Linked DNA regions of Oryctolagus cuniculus. The protein of the gene in region 1 purifies or fractionates together with the protein of each later gene. This does not show direct contact. Links are inferred from orthologs where the notes say so. Each region holds a gene or a part of one and is shown on either strand. Other genes may lie near its edges.

Region 1 (3,021 bases):
CAGCAGAGGCAAGAGTCCCAGATAATGCCGTTTTTCAGACTTAGGACTGAGGAAATATCCTTCAACAGAACAGAAAGAATCCCAGCCCCATCCTGCCCTTTAGTAAGCCATGAGAAGATATGGGACACTTCCTCTTTAACATCTCATGAAAATTATAGCCTCAGATCACAGAGAGAATTATTTCAGGCCCAACCAAATATAAAAGTTAGGACTTGGGGGACCCTCTCATCTCAATATAGTTGGACCCCACACTTGCCATCCTCTTCTTTTTTATTTTTGTTTTTTAAAAATATTTATTTATTTGAAAGAATGGCAGAAAGATAATCCATCCACTGGTTAATTCCCAAGATGGCCACGATGGCTGGGGCTGGGCCAGGCCAAAGCCAGGAACCAACAGCTTCATCCTGGTCTCCCACGTGGGTGATAGGTGCCCAAATACTTGAGCTGTCTTCTGCAGCTTTTCCCAGGCCAATAGCAAGGAACTGGATCAGACATAGAACAGCAGGGTCACAAACTGTTGCTATGAGGCTTTGCCAGGTGTTGCCAGATGTGAGACCCTTCACTGCTTCTTGTTGCCTCTTAGGGAGGTGAACTTCTGCTTTGTGTTGCTTCAGGACAGCAGAGTGGTAGAGTCTAAACTGCCAGAGGAAATTGAGAACTCTAAGTGGGTGCAAAGGGGATCTTCCACTTTTTAACAGTGAGGACCTCTCAGAACCTAACACACTTTCCTGACTGGTGGGCCCAGGGTGATACTTGCAGTCTGAACTCTAGACTCCCCTCTATTCTTCTTATAGGAGCTCCAGAAACCTGCTGGTCAAAGACTTATGTGAGACAGTGCACTTAGGTCACAGAGAAGACAAGGCTGAAGCAGTGCCAAGACTCAAGGTGAGGTACATCCCTTGAATGTGGATTGCAAACCACCAGCAGAACACAAGGGACCCCACAGTGCTTGACTCCAACCCACCCTCACTGACAGCCCTGGATTCTCACTCTCTGCTGACCCGTTTCTTTGCACTTCTCATGGTACTGTCTCACCAGTAGGACAGGATCTGTGTGAGGCACTAGTGCACCACAACCCAAAGAGAAAAAATGTAAGTGGGCTTTTGCCAAAACAGCCAAGGGTGCAGTTTTCAATTGATGTCACTCACATGGTCCCTTTCTCTTTTAGGCCTGTGGGGTCCCCATAACCCAGCTGCTGCCCATTCTTTTGCCTGCTGCCTCCAACGAGAGTCATCATGCCTCGAGCTCCAAAGCGTCGGCGGTATGTGCTTGAAGAAGACCTTCAGGCCCAAATTGAGACACAGAACATTACGGATGAGGATGCTTCTTCATCCTCCTCTACCTGTTCTTCCTCTTTTCCCTCCTCTTCCTCCTCTTCGACATCCTCCTCTTTCTATTCTCTAATGTCAAGCACCTCAGAGGAGGTTTTTGATGATGATAGCACACAGAGTTCTCTCCAGAGTCCTCAGGTATCCTGTTCCTCCTCTACTGGCATGACCTCCACTCCATGGGGCCAATCCAGTGAGGGTACCAGCAGCCAAGATAAGGAGGGTCCTAGCACCTCACAGGCCCTGAGAGAGCCTGAGTCTTTTCTCAGAAGTAAGATAGAGGAAAAGGTGTCTAATTTGGTGGAGTTCTTGCTCTTCAAGTATCAGACAAATGCTCCCACCACCAAGGAAGAAATGCTGATGTGTGTCATTCAGAATTACCAGGATCACTTTCCTGTGATCCTCAGTGAAGCCTCTGAATGCATGCAGCTGGTCTTTGGCATTGATGTAAAGGAAGTGGACCCCACTAACCACTCCTATGCCCTCGTTATCTCCCTGGGCCTCACCTATGATGGGTTGCTTAGTGATGTCCAGGGCATGCCCAAGACTGGCCTCCTGATACTTATCCTGAGTGTCATTTTCATGAGTGGTAACTATGCCCCTGAGGAAGAGATCTGGGATGTGCTGATTGGGATGGGGTTGTCTCTTGGGGAGAGGCACTATATCTATGGGAAGCCCGAAAAGTTACTCACAGAAGATTGGGTGCAAGAAGGGTACTTGGAGTGGCGTCAGGTACCCAACAGTGATCCTGCTCGCTATGAGTTCCTGTGGGGTCCAAGGGCCCATGCTGAGATCAGCAAGATGAGTCTTCTGGAGTTTTTGGCCAAGATCAATGGAAGTGATCCAAGATCCTTCCCAGTATGGTATGAGGAGGCTTTGAGAGATGAGGCAGAGAGAGCCCAGGCCAGAATTGCCACAGTAGATACTACTGCCATGGCCAGTGCCAGTTCTATTGCCAGCATCAGCATCTCCTACCCTGAGTAAAATTAGGCAGATTCTTCACTCTGTTCTCAGAGTGAAGTCAAAAGTCTCAGTAGTGGAGGGTCAGGCTGGACCTAGAGGTAATGAATTGTATAATATCTTTATCTTACTGCTTTCTTTAGAGGATTTAGGGATTTATCTTCTTTATATCGAACATTTAAAAATGTTGTTACTTTTACTAAAAGGTTGATTAGCTTCTAAATATTTGTTAATTAATTATATTTCTCACATATTTATTTTTTTTTCAGAATAAGCAAATGAGTTTTTGCTATTTTGTAAAACCAGTTGGGAAGCCCTCCATCTTGTTTGTAATTTGGAACAAAATTCCATGGCAGTAGAATATTCGTATCCTTGGAAAAGTAAAAGCATTTAGCAATACATAGAGAAAAAAGCTAAGTGTTATCATATTGATTCCCTTATCCCTTTCAGTGTGTTACTCTGAAAGATTAAAAGATAAGTTTCTATATCTTGTTAGATTATTCAGGTGCAAATTAAACTGTAATAAACACAACTCTTGTTTTCTGGCTTATTTCTTCCCCAAACTTGTGTTGAGTATCTGCTTTGTGGAAGGCCATGTGCTGAGTGGAGATTCTGGTTCAAGCCACACCCACCCTAGCAGAGAAGGGTAGAGTCCAGCAGCAGCCACGATAGGAGGAAGATGGAGAGATGTCCTCTGAGACCCACAGAATCAGGGAAAGACAGCTGAGCAGCT
Region 2 (4,110 bases), on another chromosome or scaffold:
TTTATTATAAAGCTCTATGCTGGGCTTATCTTGAGGGGTAGATTTCTGGGTTGAAGCCATAGTGATTTTTCCAAAGGGAGGTAGGTAGGTGGTCATTATGCTTTACTGTCATTTTGACTTTTAATTTCTGTCTTAAGGGCCGAACGATTTCCACGACCTTCACTACTCCTGAGAAGGAACACAGACAGCGTTGATATGCAACAGAAGATCCTCAATAGTCACTCATTACCCAAACCAAACACTCGCAGGTCAGCTAAGAAACGTCCGGGTGCAGCCCTGCTAACGCACCAAGCCTCAAATACACAACAAAAAACCCAACGTAGAGTGCGTGGGGCGTTTAAATTTTCTGAAAGTCATCCAGAAGGTAGGTGGACTAATCAGTGAAGAGGCAGTATTTGTCTCGGGACAGGAGATTCTGAAACGCACAGCGAGCAAATCCCCGAAGTGGGGGTGGGGACAGTTAATAAGAACCCCTGGGAAAGGCCCTTTCAGCAAGGATTGGAAAATAATACATTTGAATTTGAATCTCTTTTGAATATAAATCTCCCTTAACAGCAGGAAAAGAGTCCCGTAGCCCTGCAAGCTTTGGGCAGGAAGGAGGTAAACCAACTGTAAAACAGCTCGTTCAGCTGTTTTTGCTTCGGAGCGCAGGGAGAGAAACAGCGACCTGGGAACCGAATATTTGAGTCCCTCAAAATAACCCGAAGGGTCAACAACGAAGTCCAGGCCGAAGCGCTGACAGCCTCCCGCTTTGCCGCACCTTACACCCCACGCTAGGTTGCCGCTCGCTGTCCCCTCCCCCGCGCCGGGCCACCGGCAGGCGCGGCCCCTTCCCACGCGGGGCGCGGCGAGCGCGGACAGCGCTGCTCCGAGGTGCGGAGGGCGGGAAGTCTGCCGCCCGCCGACTCCACTGGCTCCGGCTAGCGGGCGCTCCTCCGCCGCGGCTGCCCCTCGTGAGGCGGCCGGTAGCGGCGGAGGCCTCGCTGGCCGCCCGCCTGGCCCGCGAGCTGAGAGCGCGGGGCGCCGAGGGGAGGCGGGGCGAGGCCGCGGGGCGGAGGGGGGCGGGAGGTGCATCCTGGGAAATCCACCAACATGGGGCGAAGCGGCCGCCGCCGCCGCCGTCGCCGCCGCCGCGAGTCCCGGCCGCGGGTGCCGCCGCTTCCCTGACGGCCCTCTGGGGCCTCGCCGCCCGCTGCGGCCCGGGTTCTTGCGGCACAGACTCGCCAGCGCGCCCTCCTCCCGTCTGCCCGCCGGGGCCATGTGAGGGGGCAGCTCCCTCGACCGCCGCCTCCTCCTCCTCCTCTTCCTCCCCCCGCCCCTCCCTCCCTTCCCGCCCCCCTCTCACAGGGCCCTAGAGGAGCCCCCACAGCTGCCCGCCCTCCCTACGCAACCCCCACGATGGACAGGAACTACGCGACCTCGGGCTTCGCGGACCCGCCGCCGCCTCCCGCGCCCCCCGCCAGCGCCGCCGCACAGCCCCCCACCCCGACCTGGGCCTACGAACCCCGATCCGCGGCCGCCGCCGCCAGCAGCAGCTGCAGCAGCAGCGGCAGCAGCCCCAGCCTCAAGGCCAGGTAGGGAGGGTGGGCGGCGGGGTCGCGGTGGGCCAGGAAAGGCCGGGGATGTGTTTGGGGCCTTCGCGCGGGTGCAGCGCCGCCCAGGGGTCCGGGCCCGGCGGGGAGCCCTCCGTTCGCCCTTGCTCCCGCTCAGGGGAGGGGGCTGATGACTCCTATGGGGTGGTCCCCGGGGAGTGGGGGACGCCTGGTGCAGGATTCGCGCCTGGGGCTGGCGGGGGGGTGGGGTGGACCGTGGCTGGAAGAAGGGCTGGGCGGGAGTCTTGGGGCTCCGTCACCTCCCGGTCCTGGGCTCTCACATGGTGAAGTTTGGGCTCGTGGCTGAACTCGGGATCCGGGAGAGCCCCAGGGCTGGCTCCTGCGGGCGGAGGGAGGCGCCGGGGACTTCGGGGCAGTGACATTCCATTGTATGGGAACCTCGGTGGCCCACAGTGTGGTCTCGGGGGCCTCGGCGGCCAGGGTGGGGGAAGCGGGAGAGGAAGAGGCGCAGAGCTGTGTCCCCTCACCCTGGGGGACCCAGGAGGACTGGGCTAGCCAGAACCTCCGGGGCTCGGGGCCGAGGAGGGGGCCCGGCGGGGCGCGAGTGCTGCGCCGGGGCTGGGTGACATATGTTTGCACTGGTGGCCAAGATCGAGCGATTTCTCTTCCACGCGTTCGAAGTTGCTCTTGGGTTTCCTCCCGTTTTAACAACAGCAGGAAGTAAGGGATCTCTCGGCGCTTTCTGGACCTTGGGGGTGACTGAGAGTTGGGGAGAAATTGGGTAGGGGGAGTCACTGACGGCCATAAAGGTTCCAGAACCGAAGCATGCTTCTCCATCTCGGCTTCGTTACGTAGCGTGGGGTTCAAGAGTTCATCTGTCCTCCAGCAGGACCAAGGGAATCTAAAATGTTGGCTCCTGCTTGATACTTAAGCTCGCGGGAAATGTGTAGTAGTGGCACACGGTGTAGCAGTCCAATTTGAATGATAACTGGAAGGCGTGGTCTGGCTTGGAGGATTCGGGAGCCGGGTGTTTTAAAGCCACCTCTCCGGAACAATACTGAATCTGGTAGGTGCAGCTTCTGATTACAAGGACCAGGGAATCCTGGGTTGCTAATGACTTCATCCCCAGCTACCAACAGGAAGCTTCGTGGCTTTGTGATCTCATCAGGTTTCTTCATTATTTGCACGACAGAAGTGAACTTTTTTTTTTTTACTTAATATATTACAGTGTTCTAGGTTGTCGTCTTTGTTTGTATGCAAGTTCCACGGTCATGATTTGGAAAATATGTGTGACGAATAGCTGTTCTTTGTCTTAGATTGTACCTTGGGATGATTGTGAAAGAATGAGAAAAATTTTCTTTAAGAAAGAGGGGGGAAAAACCTTGTTAGAAAATTTTAGGTCCTTTGTTTAAAAGAGCGGGGAGAAAAAATAAATGTGGTATACCAGTTTGGAGCTAAATAATTCAGCGCTGAAACCTTTCACAAATAGCAGTCATTTTGTATTATATATAAGTAAGCTGTTACAAGAAGTTTCATGAAAAACATTTGACACTTTTCCTATTCTTTTTTTTGTGATAATTTAACCATCGTTTTCCAAGTAGCTTTTGCATTGAATATGATGATTTTCACAAGTTAAGATTGCTTGCTGTTTAGTGAACAGCAGTGATAGCTGTTTGTGCAGAATATTTTGTTTCAAATGGAAAATGTATTAGGTAAATGAAAATGAAATACTATCTAGTTTTTTTTTCTGTTATTTCTTTTAGCAGAATACTTCTGAGGCAAGAATCTAAAAATCCAATTGTCATATTTTCCAAATGTTATTTATCAAAGTAACAGAGTGACTCCCCAAACATATTTGAAAACAGTAAGTAGATTCACTTGGACCATGGAATCTAAAAGAGACTTATTTTCTGGTTTTTTTTTTTTTTTTTAATTACTAATTCTTAAATGTTAGCCCTCCTGCTTTAAAAAAGGGTTTCGGGGGTGGGGTCAGCTGAATTATAGCCTTGAAAATGCAGGCTTTCCCCTCCCCCATTAACCTGCTTTGTTAACATCTTGTGTCAGGATCAGGCCATCTGTACAGGGCTGTACACACTTCTTAATTGTACCTCATTTTATTTCTCAAACTGTGCAAAAGTCCTCTTTAATTCAGTTACATCAAAAATCCTGAATCTTAAATAGCCCTGTAAGTCTTAAAATATTCTACATTTCAGAAGCTTATTCATATTTTTATGACATTTAAAAAAGCTTTTTCATAATTCATGCACCAGTTGAATGTTTTTGTTCCCCTTTGTGGCAGTTTCTTCTGAAGGTGCAAATGAGTACAGTAGGATGATGTAATGTGGATATTTATCCATAAAGAATTAGCCTGTCTGTCACCTTGTTTCCTGTAACCTATTCAAAAGCTGACAGATGGTAATGACATTTAGTTGTTACTGACACAGGATCCAACATCCTATGTCTTTGCTTGTTCTTGAAATGCAGCGTTTTCATCAACTGATGGGAACATGCATGGTAAACAATTACTTATGAGTCTGAAACAATACTTTTTTAAAAA
Region 3 (4,241 bases), on another chromosome or scaffold:
GGGAAAGACAAGAGGAGAGACAGTGCTCTCATCTGCTGGTTCACTGGCCAAATGCTCCTAATGGCTGGAGTTGGGCTTGGGCTGGGTTGGCCAGGAGCCAAGAACTCAATCTGGGTCCCCCACATGGGTGGCAGGGACCCAAGTCCTTGAGCCAGCACCTGCTGCAGGAAGGCGGAATTCGGAGCCGGAGCCAGAGCAGGAAACAACCTAGGCACTCCGATATGGCACTTGAGTGTCTTGACCTGGATCCCAACTGCTAGGCCTAACACCTGCCCCCAGGAACTTGAAGTCCCCTCATACATGCGTGCTGGGAGGCAAAGGATTCTTTAATTCACATAATACAGATGGTATCTCTCAATACTTTCCAATAGCAAGTTCTTCCCAGTCTCTAGTGTCAGACTACAGGTTAGACACTTTATTTCCCATTCTCTGGATGCAGAAGTTATATTTTCACAATTCCCACCCATCATTTCAATTTCTCTAGGAAGAGAGCTTTCCAATGTTGAAGATCTCTAGGTGCTTAAGAAGAAATGGCAGCATTTTCCTCTGGCCCGTGGCTTCCCAGCCAGGTCAGGAAGCTGACTCACTCTGAGCTTACCTACGTTAACCCAGGTGGTTAAGTGAGCGTGTAACGCTTCTTCAGGGTTGCACGACTGGCATAAGTGCTTTAAAAAACATATTCTAAACATCTGGCCGCTGCAGGATTTGTCTAGCATACTTCAGTCTCCTCACTCCAGCTTGGCTCAGGTCCACCCTACAAAGCCAGGCGGGAGACACGCAGTCCCCACCCAGCGAAGATTCCCGTGTGACTAACGCCCTTCCTGCAGACAAATCTTCGCAGCCCTCCCCACCCGCCTTCTCCACTCACTCTACGAAGGCTTTGGTAGCCCGCCTGCGTGGACGCCGTCACCTAGGGTCGGTCTTAGCTCTCGCCCACTTATGCCTCAGTTTCCCCATCGTTCTCTACATACAGGCAGGGTTAAACCCTACGCTCTTCCTTGTCCTCTCGTTCATCCTTTCGGGCAATGTAGTTTGGCAAATCTGGGCCCAAAGGTGCCTACGGATTCCATTATCGCGCGCATTCCAGGCGAGGTATCGCAGACGCCGGCTTGCGAGAAGTAAACAGGAAACCAGCGATCCCACGCAGGAAATGACCTTGTTTGAGGGCAGCGAGGGAGCCGCGGATTTCCCTCGTTTCCCTTTCTAAACTCACTTCCGGGTTTCAATCACTTTGGTCCTTCCCTACAAATGCCGGAGTCCGGGTAGCTCTTCCCGGTCCCAACCTACACTTCGCCCCGAGAGAATGGCCAATAGGCCCGTCCCCGTAGTTGACATTTTTATGCTTCGTTTTACATCATTGCAAATCTCAACCAATCAGTAGTTGCGATAGGAGGTACCAAAATAGTCTTCACTTCCTCCCCTTGCCGGCGTCACCCTGTGATAGAAGAATGACTCAGCCAATCAACGAGCAGGCTTGGGCCCGGCCTACGCCAGGTCCAGCCAATCAGAATAATGACGGGGAACTGGGGCGGGGAATGGAAAACTTGCCCCCTCTTTTGGAAATGATTTTTGAAGAGGTGCGTCGCGAACCGGGGAAGTCACAACTCTCTGCAAACGATCGCAGCGGCCGTAGATCTTATGTGCCCAGGTCTGTCCCCCTTCGACTCCGCCCCAAGATGGGCTCACATTCCACCCTCGCCCCTGTTTGGGTAGACGCAACGGCGTCCCTGGAAAAAAATCCCAGCCCCAGCAGCCCGGGTTGCAAAAACGCCGCACCCCGTGCGGGACGAGGAGGGGGCAGGAGAAACCCTGCAGCCGCGGCGCCAGTCTTTCGATTCAGTGCGTCTCTCCTCCCGGCCCCACGTTCCCGGGCCGCAGCTGACACGGGGCTGGGAGGAGCCGAGGGCCTGCTCGGTTTGGGGAGAGGCGAAAACTTCTTAAGGTGGAACAGAGCGGTTGCGGGGCCAGGCCTCCCAGCCGCCGGACCTGGCTTCCCACGGCTCCTCCAGCCTTATCCAGGCTTATTGTCAGGGAGCACTAAAGAGGGTGGGCAGAGCAGATACAGATCACTGTAGACAACTTTAATAAACAGCCTTGTAAGGGAGATACTGACTCTGCAGGGAACTTTTTCCTTGGGATGGAATCTCTCTGGTTCGGTTCTATTCTTTCCTCCTCCCAAGATGACCTTTTAAAGTAGCAGCTAGAATTGTCCTGCTGTGCACAAGGGAGCTCAAGGTTCGATGACAGACATTCCTGAATGAGTCGCGCGCGTCCTATGCTGGCTTTGTCTTCCTCCACTAGAGCTGACCACAGCCATGCGAGAAAGCAAGAACCTTGTGTGTAGCGGCTGCGGGTTGCCCCCGGCGCCGTTTGTCACGGTGAACCGGGAATGCAGGAGGTACATTGTATGGTCCCTCAGTCTGGTCTTGGCGTTGCTCAGTCTTCTCATTTGCAAAATGACGGTATCTGGCCACCTGGAAGGTGTAGTGTGCGTGCTGATGGACACAGTGCAAATGCAAACACCTTGTACTCTGACGGGTGAAACAAACGTTAGATCCTACGCATACAAAACACATACATAATAGCAAACACAGTCCTTACCATTCTACAGCATTTTTAAACAGAATAAAAAAAAAGTCTATCAAACAGATACAAAAGTAGAGAGAACAGTATTTTTCTAGAGTTGTAATAAGCAACTTTTGGCCAAGTTTGTATCATCACTCCCTCTCCCCTCCATCACTTGATTATTTTGAGGTAGATTTCAGGTATTTCATGCCTAAGTAGTTCAGCATGCATTTTTTTTTAAAGATTTATTTATTTGAAAGAGTTACAGAAAGAGGTAGAGACAGAGAGAGAAGTCTTCCATCTGCTGGTTCACTCCCCAGATGGCTGCAATGGCCGGAGCTGCGCTGATCCAAAGACAGGGGCCAGGAGCTTCCTCTGGGTCTCCCACGTGGGTGCAGGGGCCCAAGCACTTGGGCTATCTGCTGCTGCTTTCCCAGGCCATAGCAGAGAGCTGGATCGGAAGAGGAACAGTCGAGACTAGAACCGACGGCCATATGGGATGCCGGCACTTCAGGCCAGGGCGTTAACCCACTGCGCCACAGCACCAGCCCCTCAGCATGCATTTTTAAAAATAAGGATTTTTTAAAAAACACATTTCCATGAACACACTTAAAATAAAGCAACGATTCCTTGATATCACCCAGTGAGTACGGACATTGTATCAATTGTCTCATATATTTGTTCCAGTTGTTTGCTTCTAGTCAGGATCTTCCCCAATGTTCCACACGTTATATTCCGTGGATATGTCTCTTGGACAATATATATTGCATTGACTGAGTCTTTTAAGCCTCTGTTCATCTCTGGAGGTCCCTTCCCTCCAACACTTGGCTGATGTGTAAGTCACTCAGCTCTTCCACAGCACTGGGAAGCTGGGTCCTCTTGTCATGTCTGCTTCACTGATGAGAAAACCAAGTCACAAAGCAGTTGAGTGACTTTCCGAAGAACTCAGTCATTAAGTATTAAAGCTGAGATTTGAATAGATCATGAGCTTTCCCTCCATCTTTTATTTCATTCAATACATCAATCTTTAATAAATGCTTCCAACACGTGCTTTTGTGGCACGTTAGTCGCCAATAGTATGTAAAAGTTTTACTCAAGGTAGACTCCAGCAAAGACGTATACAGAAATTTATACACACATACATATATTTCAAGAAACAACTACATGATTGTATGATACAAACTATAAAAACATGATTTCCTCACTTGAATACTTTCAGACTTATGAAAAAAAATGGTTCCTTAAAATAATACATACTGGGGTTGGAGTTGTGGTGCATCAGGGTAAGCAATGGCTTGGGACATTTGCATCCCATTATCAGGGTGCCAGTTCAAGTCCTGGCTGTTCCACTTCTGATCCAGCTTCATGTTAATGTATCTGGGAAGGCAGCAGATGATGGCCCAAGTGCTTGGACCCCTAGCACCCATGTGGGAGACAAAGAATGGAGTTCCTGGCTCCTGCCTTCTGCTAGACCAAGACCTGGCTATTTCAGACATTTGGGGAGTAAACCAGTGGATGGAAGATACAGCTCTCTGTCTCTCCCTCTTTTTCTCATCTGCCTTTTGAATAAATAATTAGATCTTTTTAAAAAATGATTTATTTATTTGAAAGGCAGAGTTGCAGAGAGGCAGAAAGAGAGAGAGGTCTTCCATCCACTGGTACATTCCCCAGATGGC
Region 4 (4,119 bases), on another chromosome or scaffold:
CTGGAGATAATTTTTGTAGCACCTAAAATTGTTAATGAGGGCTACATGTCAGCATTTATAAAATCCGTATTGCCACTTTCTTCACTTACTCTAATGTTGTAGTTCTTGAATAAAATCTTTATGAGGTTGAGTTTCCTAGTATGAAGTTTTTCTTGAGTGAATATCTTTGTGGTTGGGGCATTAAGTGTCCTGAGTGAAGGACGAAGCCCTGAAAGAACTCTTAGGGAATCTGTGATCCGAACATTCAGTCATGAATGTGTCCTCCAGACACTGACTGCTGGACAGCCTCCTGGCCTGTCATCTGCAGTGCCTCACCATCTAGGTGGCTTATCTTCAAGAAAAGCTCTGAATACAAAGAATGCTGTATTTGAATAGTTCCCTGTTGGCATACCTTTAGAATGGATGTGTCTGTCATCAATTTAGGGATGTGAATTGTTTGAATTTGAGGCGTTTTCCATAACCCTTGTATCTTGGCTATGTGAGAGTTCACTTTGTGTCCACCTTTGGTTTTATCTGTGGGCCAAGGACATAATCATACGAATTTCAGAGACAAAGATCAGCTCACAAATTTATTAAGATCTAAGTACTGGAGCCAGCGTGTGGTGTAGCAGGTAAAACTGCCGCCTGAAGTACCAGCATTCCATATGGGCCCCAGTTTGAGTCCCAGCTGCTCCACTTCTGATCCAGCTCTCTGCTGTGACCTGTGATAACAGTGAAGGATGGCCCAAGTCCTTGGGCCCCTGCACCCAGGTGGGAGACCCAGAGAAGCTCTGGCTTCAAATCAGCGCAGCTCCAAAATACAAATTGCATATTTAGACTCGGGCCCCTCCCTAACATCATTACCTATATGCAAATATTCCAAAATCTGAAATTCTTCTGATCTTAAGCTTTTCAATTAAGAGATATTCAACCTGTATTTATTTATATATTTTCAGATATGGGAGTGTGCCTTTTTTCCCCTATGAAATTATAAGGACTATATATTTTTCTAAAGTAAAGCTAAGTGAACCCAAGTTTGCATATCATTAAATGTAAATGAACACATAAAAACTAACTTACTGTATTGAATACAGATAGGTATGTAATGAGTGAATTCTACCTCCCCTCCCCACAACAAGGTCACTAGCAAGAGGCCTTCAGGGACTTGTTTGTGTCCCTTCACTCCAGCAGAGAAGAGGGGAGTGTTTTTGAGAACTCAGTCATTCAAGTGAGAGGAAAATGTCAGCGCTGAGAAGTATTTATGGTGTTGGGAACTGCTCAGTGAAGTTTTCACCTTCAGTCTGAGCTGATTCAGCCATGAACACAGCACTTGTAGAATTCATTGCTAACTTTAAAATGCCTGCTTGAGCTCATTACCTGAAGAGGAAGAACCCACTAGATTGTTCTTTGAAACTCAGAGACTAAGAGCTACTGGGGATGCCAACAGTTTATTTTTAAAACTCCATTGTGTGGCTCACTAGGCTAATCCTCCACCTGTGGCGCTGGCACCCTGGGTACTAGTCCTGGTCGGGGCGCTGGATTCTGTCCCGGTTGCCCCTCTTCCAGGCCAGCTCTCTGCTGTGGCCAGGGAGTGCAGTGGAGGATGGCCCAGGTGCTTGGGCCCTGCACCCACATGGGAGACCAGGAGGAAGCACCTGGCTCCTGGCTTCGGATTGGCACAGCACCAGCCATAGCAGCCATTAGGGGAGTGAACCAACGGAAGGAAGACTTTTCTCTCTGTTTCTCTCTCTCACTTACTGCCTGTCAAACAAACAAACAAACAAAAAACTCCATTTTGTAGGTACTTATAGGCAAATTGGCTTCTTTGAAACATGCTATTTCTAGGTATTATCTGTTTTCTATGCACTACTCACCGGTACCTTTGGAATTTTGGTGGTAAGAATGTCCAACTGATCTGTTAAAAAAGAGAAATACATGATAATTGACAAACTTCTTAAGCACTAAGAACATACTTCAAACGGTAACTATTGCATATGCGTTTTATTTTTCATGTATGTCTTGCAGATCACCTGCAATTCTGCTTAAATCCTGATGGCTGCGAGTTTTCTCGCAGTGTGTTATCTGAGCTTTTCACCATACTAGAAAGGATGTATTCCAGTCTGTCTGTATGTATTTATTTATTCTAGGCCAGATTTGGTCTTACCTTTATAGCTTCCCAATCTAATGCCTACAGCGAGCTCAATAAAACTGGTTCGGGCTCCTGCGTTATTAATCCATGGTATTTTCTTACTCTATTTTAAATAAAATAACTGGGGTTTTGAAGGCAGCCCTTTGAACAGTGATTAAGGGATGCGGGAACGGATACCTTGGCCTGTAATGTTGTAATTTGGTACAGTTTTTTTCCTTTTTTTCAAATTAAGACCGAATGCCCTCCATCCCGCCTGCTACCGCGTGTTCCCAGATCTGATCCCTGCCAAGGGCCGTGGCCCCCGCCGTTAACAGCCCCTCAGCCAACCTCAGACACAGGGCCCCGCGCGGCCCGGGGGCGCCGCCCGCCCTCCGCCTCTGGGCGACCCCCGGGGGCCGACGCCAAAGCGTCCCCGGCGGGGCCCGAAAACTCCACGCAGTCCTCGCACTCGGCTCCGAGCGTCCCCCCCCCCCCGGCCACGGCCGCCGCCCGCCCCCGCCCTCCCGGGCGCTCACGACCCCGGGCTGGGCGCCGTCCCCCCAGCCCCTCCGGGCCCCCGGCCTCACCCGCCGCCGCCGCCGCCGCCCTCGGTCCCGGCCACCGCGGGCGGCTCGGCCGAAGAGTCGGCCCCCGGCCCCCGGCCCGGCATCTCCCCGGCGCCCGGACGGCGAGCTGCGTGCGGGAGAAGCGGGCCCTGCCCCTGCCCCCTCTGCACGCGTGCGTCAGGCGGGAGGTGTCGGGGCGACACCTCGGGAAGCTGGGAGGGCTAGGAGACCCACGACCCCGGATCTGCGGGAGTGCGTTACTTGGTGGCGAGTCTGTGCTTTCGCATCTTTTTGTGCAAGGGACGCGTCACGGGAACGAAACGCACACGCTCCCCTGAACACGAGGTGCCTTCCACCTCAGGGTTCCAGACCCTCAGCACATTTGCAAAGCTTGGGTGGCACCGTCCGAGCCCAACGCCAATGCGCAAACCAAGAATCAGGGATGCTGAGCGTTTGCCGTTATCCTTTGTCTCCCTGGCAACCAGGCTCCGGCGGCTACCCAACCGCGGGTTTCCGCCAGCCGCTTCTGCGCACGCGCAAGACCTCCTCCTTCACTCTCTCCCTCCCTCCCTCCCACCTCTCTCCTCCCCGCCCCTTCCGTGTCTCCCGGACGCGTTTCTCACGGGACTTGGCCCGCGGAACGTTCCGTAGCCGGAGGTGTGACTTACCCGGAAATGTATAAGGAGCTTCGGTTGCGATTGGTTCGCACCTCGCGCTCCCGGAAGTGGGTGGGCGTGGCGCCAAGGCTGAAGCGGGAAGTGTGCCGTACGGCCCTGGAGAAGCCGAGGGTCGGCATGCCTCGTTACGCGCAGCTGGTCATGGGCCCCGCCGGCAGCGGGAAGGTGAGATTTGGTGGGAAAGGAGAGAAAGATCGTAACCCGTGTGAGGCGAGGGTTCGGTCCTGAGAGAAGGGCGTGTACCGAGGGCCTTGAGACTCCGCGCCGTTCGCTTCTGCTCTCGGTCTTCGGGGTCCTGTCGTCTTGCAAGGGGGTCGTGGCGGTTGTTGGTGGACGCTTAGGCCCCGGGTTGGAGTAGCCCAACCCTAGGAGATGGGTCTTCTTATTCCCGTTTAGGGAAGGTCGCGCGCGTACGAGTCGGGACCTGAACTGGAATCCGGGTTTGTTTTGTTTTTCTGACTCCAGAATCCTGTCCTTTCTCCCTCCCAGGAGACTAAAGTGGGGTCTTTGTGGGTGTTTCCCAAAGCCTGGGACGTGGACTTCTGGTATTTGAAGGGATTTTAGATGGCAGTGGGACCCCGCGTTACGGAACATCGGCTCGTATGCTCAGAACATTCCCCCTTCCCCTTCTGGATTCCACTGCGGTGAAGCTACGCTGGCTTCTAACGTAGCTCCATTTTTTAAAAAAAGGACTTATTTTATTTATTTGAAAGTCAGAGTCAGAGTTAGAGAGAAGGAGAGGCAGAGAGAGAGAGGTCTTCCATCCGCT

The links.
Region 2: the proteins of melanoma-associated antigen 10 (region 1) and QSER1 purify together in Homo sapiens (affinity purification with mass spectrometry; 3 studies listed by BioGRID and IntAct, counting the BioPlex papers as one, with this or other methods). This does not show direct contact. The link is inferred for Oryctolagus cuniculus from reciprocal best matches to the Homo sapiens genes MAGEA10 and QSER1.
Region 3: the proteins of melanoma-associated antigen 10 (region 1) and FOXJ2 purify together in Homo sapiens (affinity purification with mass spectrometry; 3 studies listed by BioGRID and IntAct, counting the BioPlex papers as one, with this or other methods). This does not show direct contact. The link is inferred for Oryctolagus cuniculus from reciprocal best matches to the Homo sapiens genes MAGEA10 and FOXJ2.
Region 4: the proteins of melanoma-associated antigen 10 (region 1) and FAM216A purify together in Homo sapiens (affinity purification with mass spectrometry; 3 studies listed by BioGRID and IntAct, counting the BioPlex papers as one, with this or other methods). This does not show direct contact. The link is inferred for Oryctolagus cuniculus from reciprocal best matches to the Homo sapiens genes MAGEA10 and FAM216A.

The regions. Positions count from the first base shown.
Region 1 is NC_091453.1:130,705,132-130,708,152, reverse strand, and holds melanoma-associated antigen 10, read left to right. Parts: upstream 1-1,235; coding exon 1,236-2,312; 3' UTR 2,313-2,518; downstream 2,519-3,021. Other genes in the region: uncharacterized protein, read right to left, coding at 1,710-1,993. UniProt on the Homo sapiens protein: Not known, though may play a role in embryonal development and tumor transformation or aspects of tumor progression.
Region 2 is NC_091432.1:33,054,641-33,058,750, reverse strand, and holds the start of QSER1 (glutamine and serine-rich protein 1), read left to right. Parts: upstream 1-1,266; 5' UTR 1,267-1,398; coding exon 1,399-1,574; intron 1,575-1,824; exon of another isoform or gene 1,825-2,619; intron 2,620-3,316; exon of another isoform or gene 3,317-3,417; intron 3,418-4,110. UniProt on the Homo sapiens protein: Plays an essential role in the protection and maintenance of transcriptional and developmental programs.
Region 3 is NC_091440.1:101,893,452-101,897,692, forward strand, and holds the start of FOXJ2 (forkhead box protein J2), read left to right. Parts: upstream 1-1,439; 5' UTR 1,440-1,638; coding exon 1,639-1,648; intron 1,649-4,241.
Region 4 is NC_091452.1:8,133,365-8,137,483, reverse strand, and holds the start of FAM216A (protein FAM216A), read right to left. Parts: upstream 2,849-4,119; 5' UTR 2,778-2,848; coding exon 2,695-2,777; intron 1,896-2,694; coding exon of another isoform or gene 1,895-1,895; coding exon 1,854-1,894; intron 514-1,853; coding exon 392-513; intron 1-391. Other genes in the region: GPN3 (GPN-loop GTPase 3), read left to right, coding at 3,348-3,515.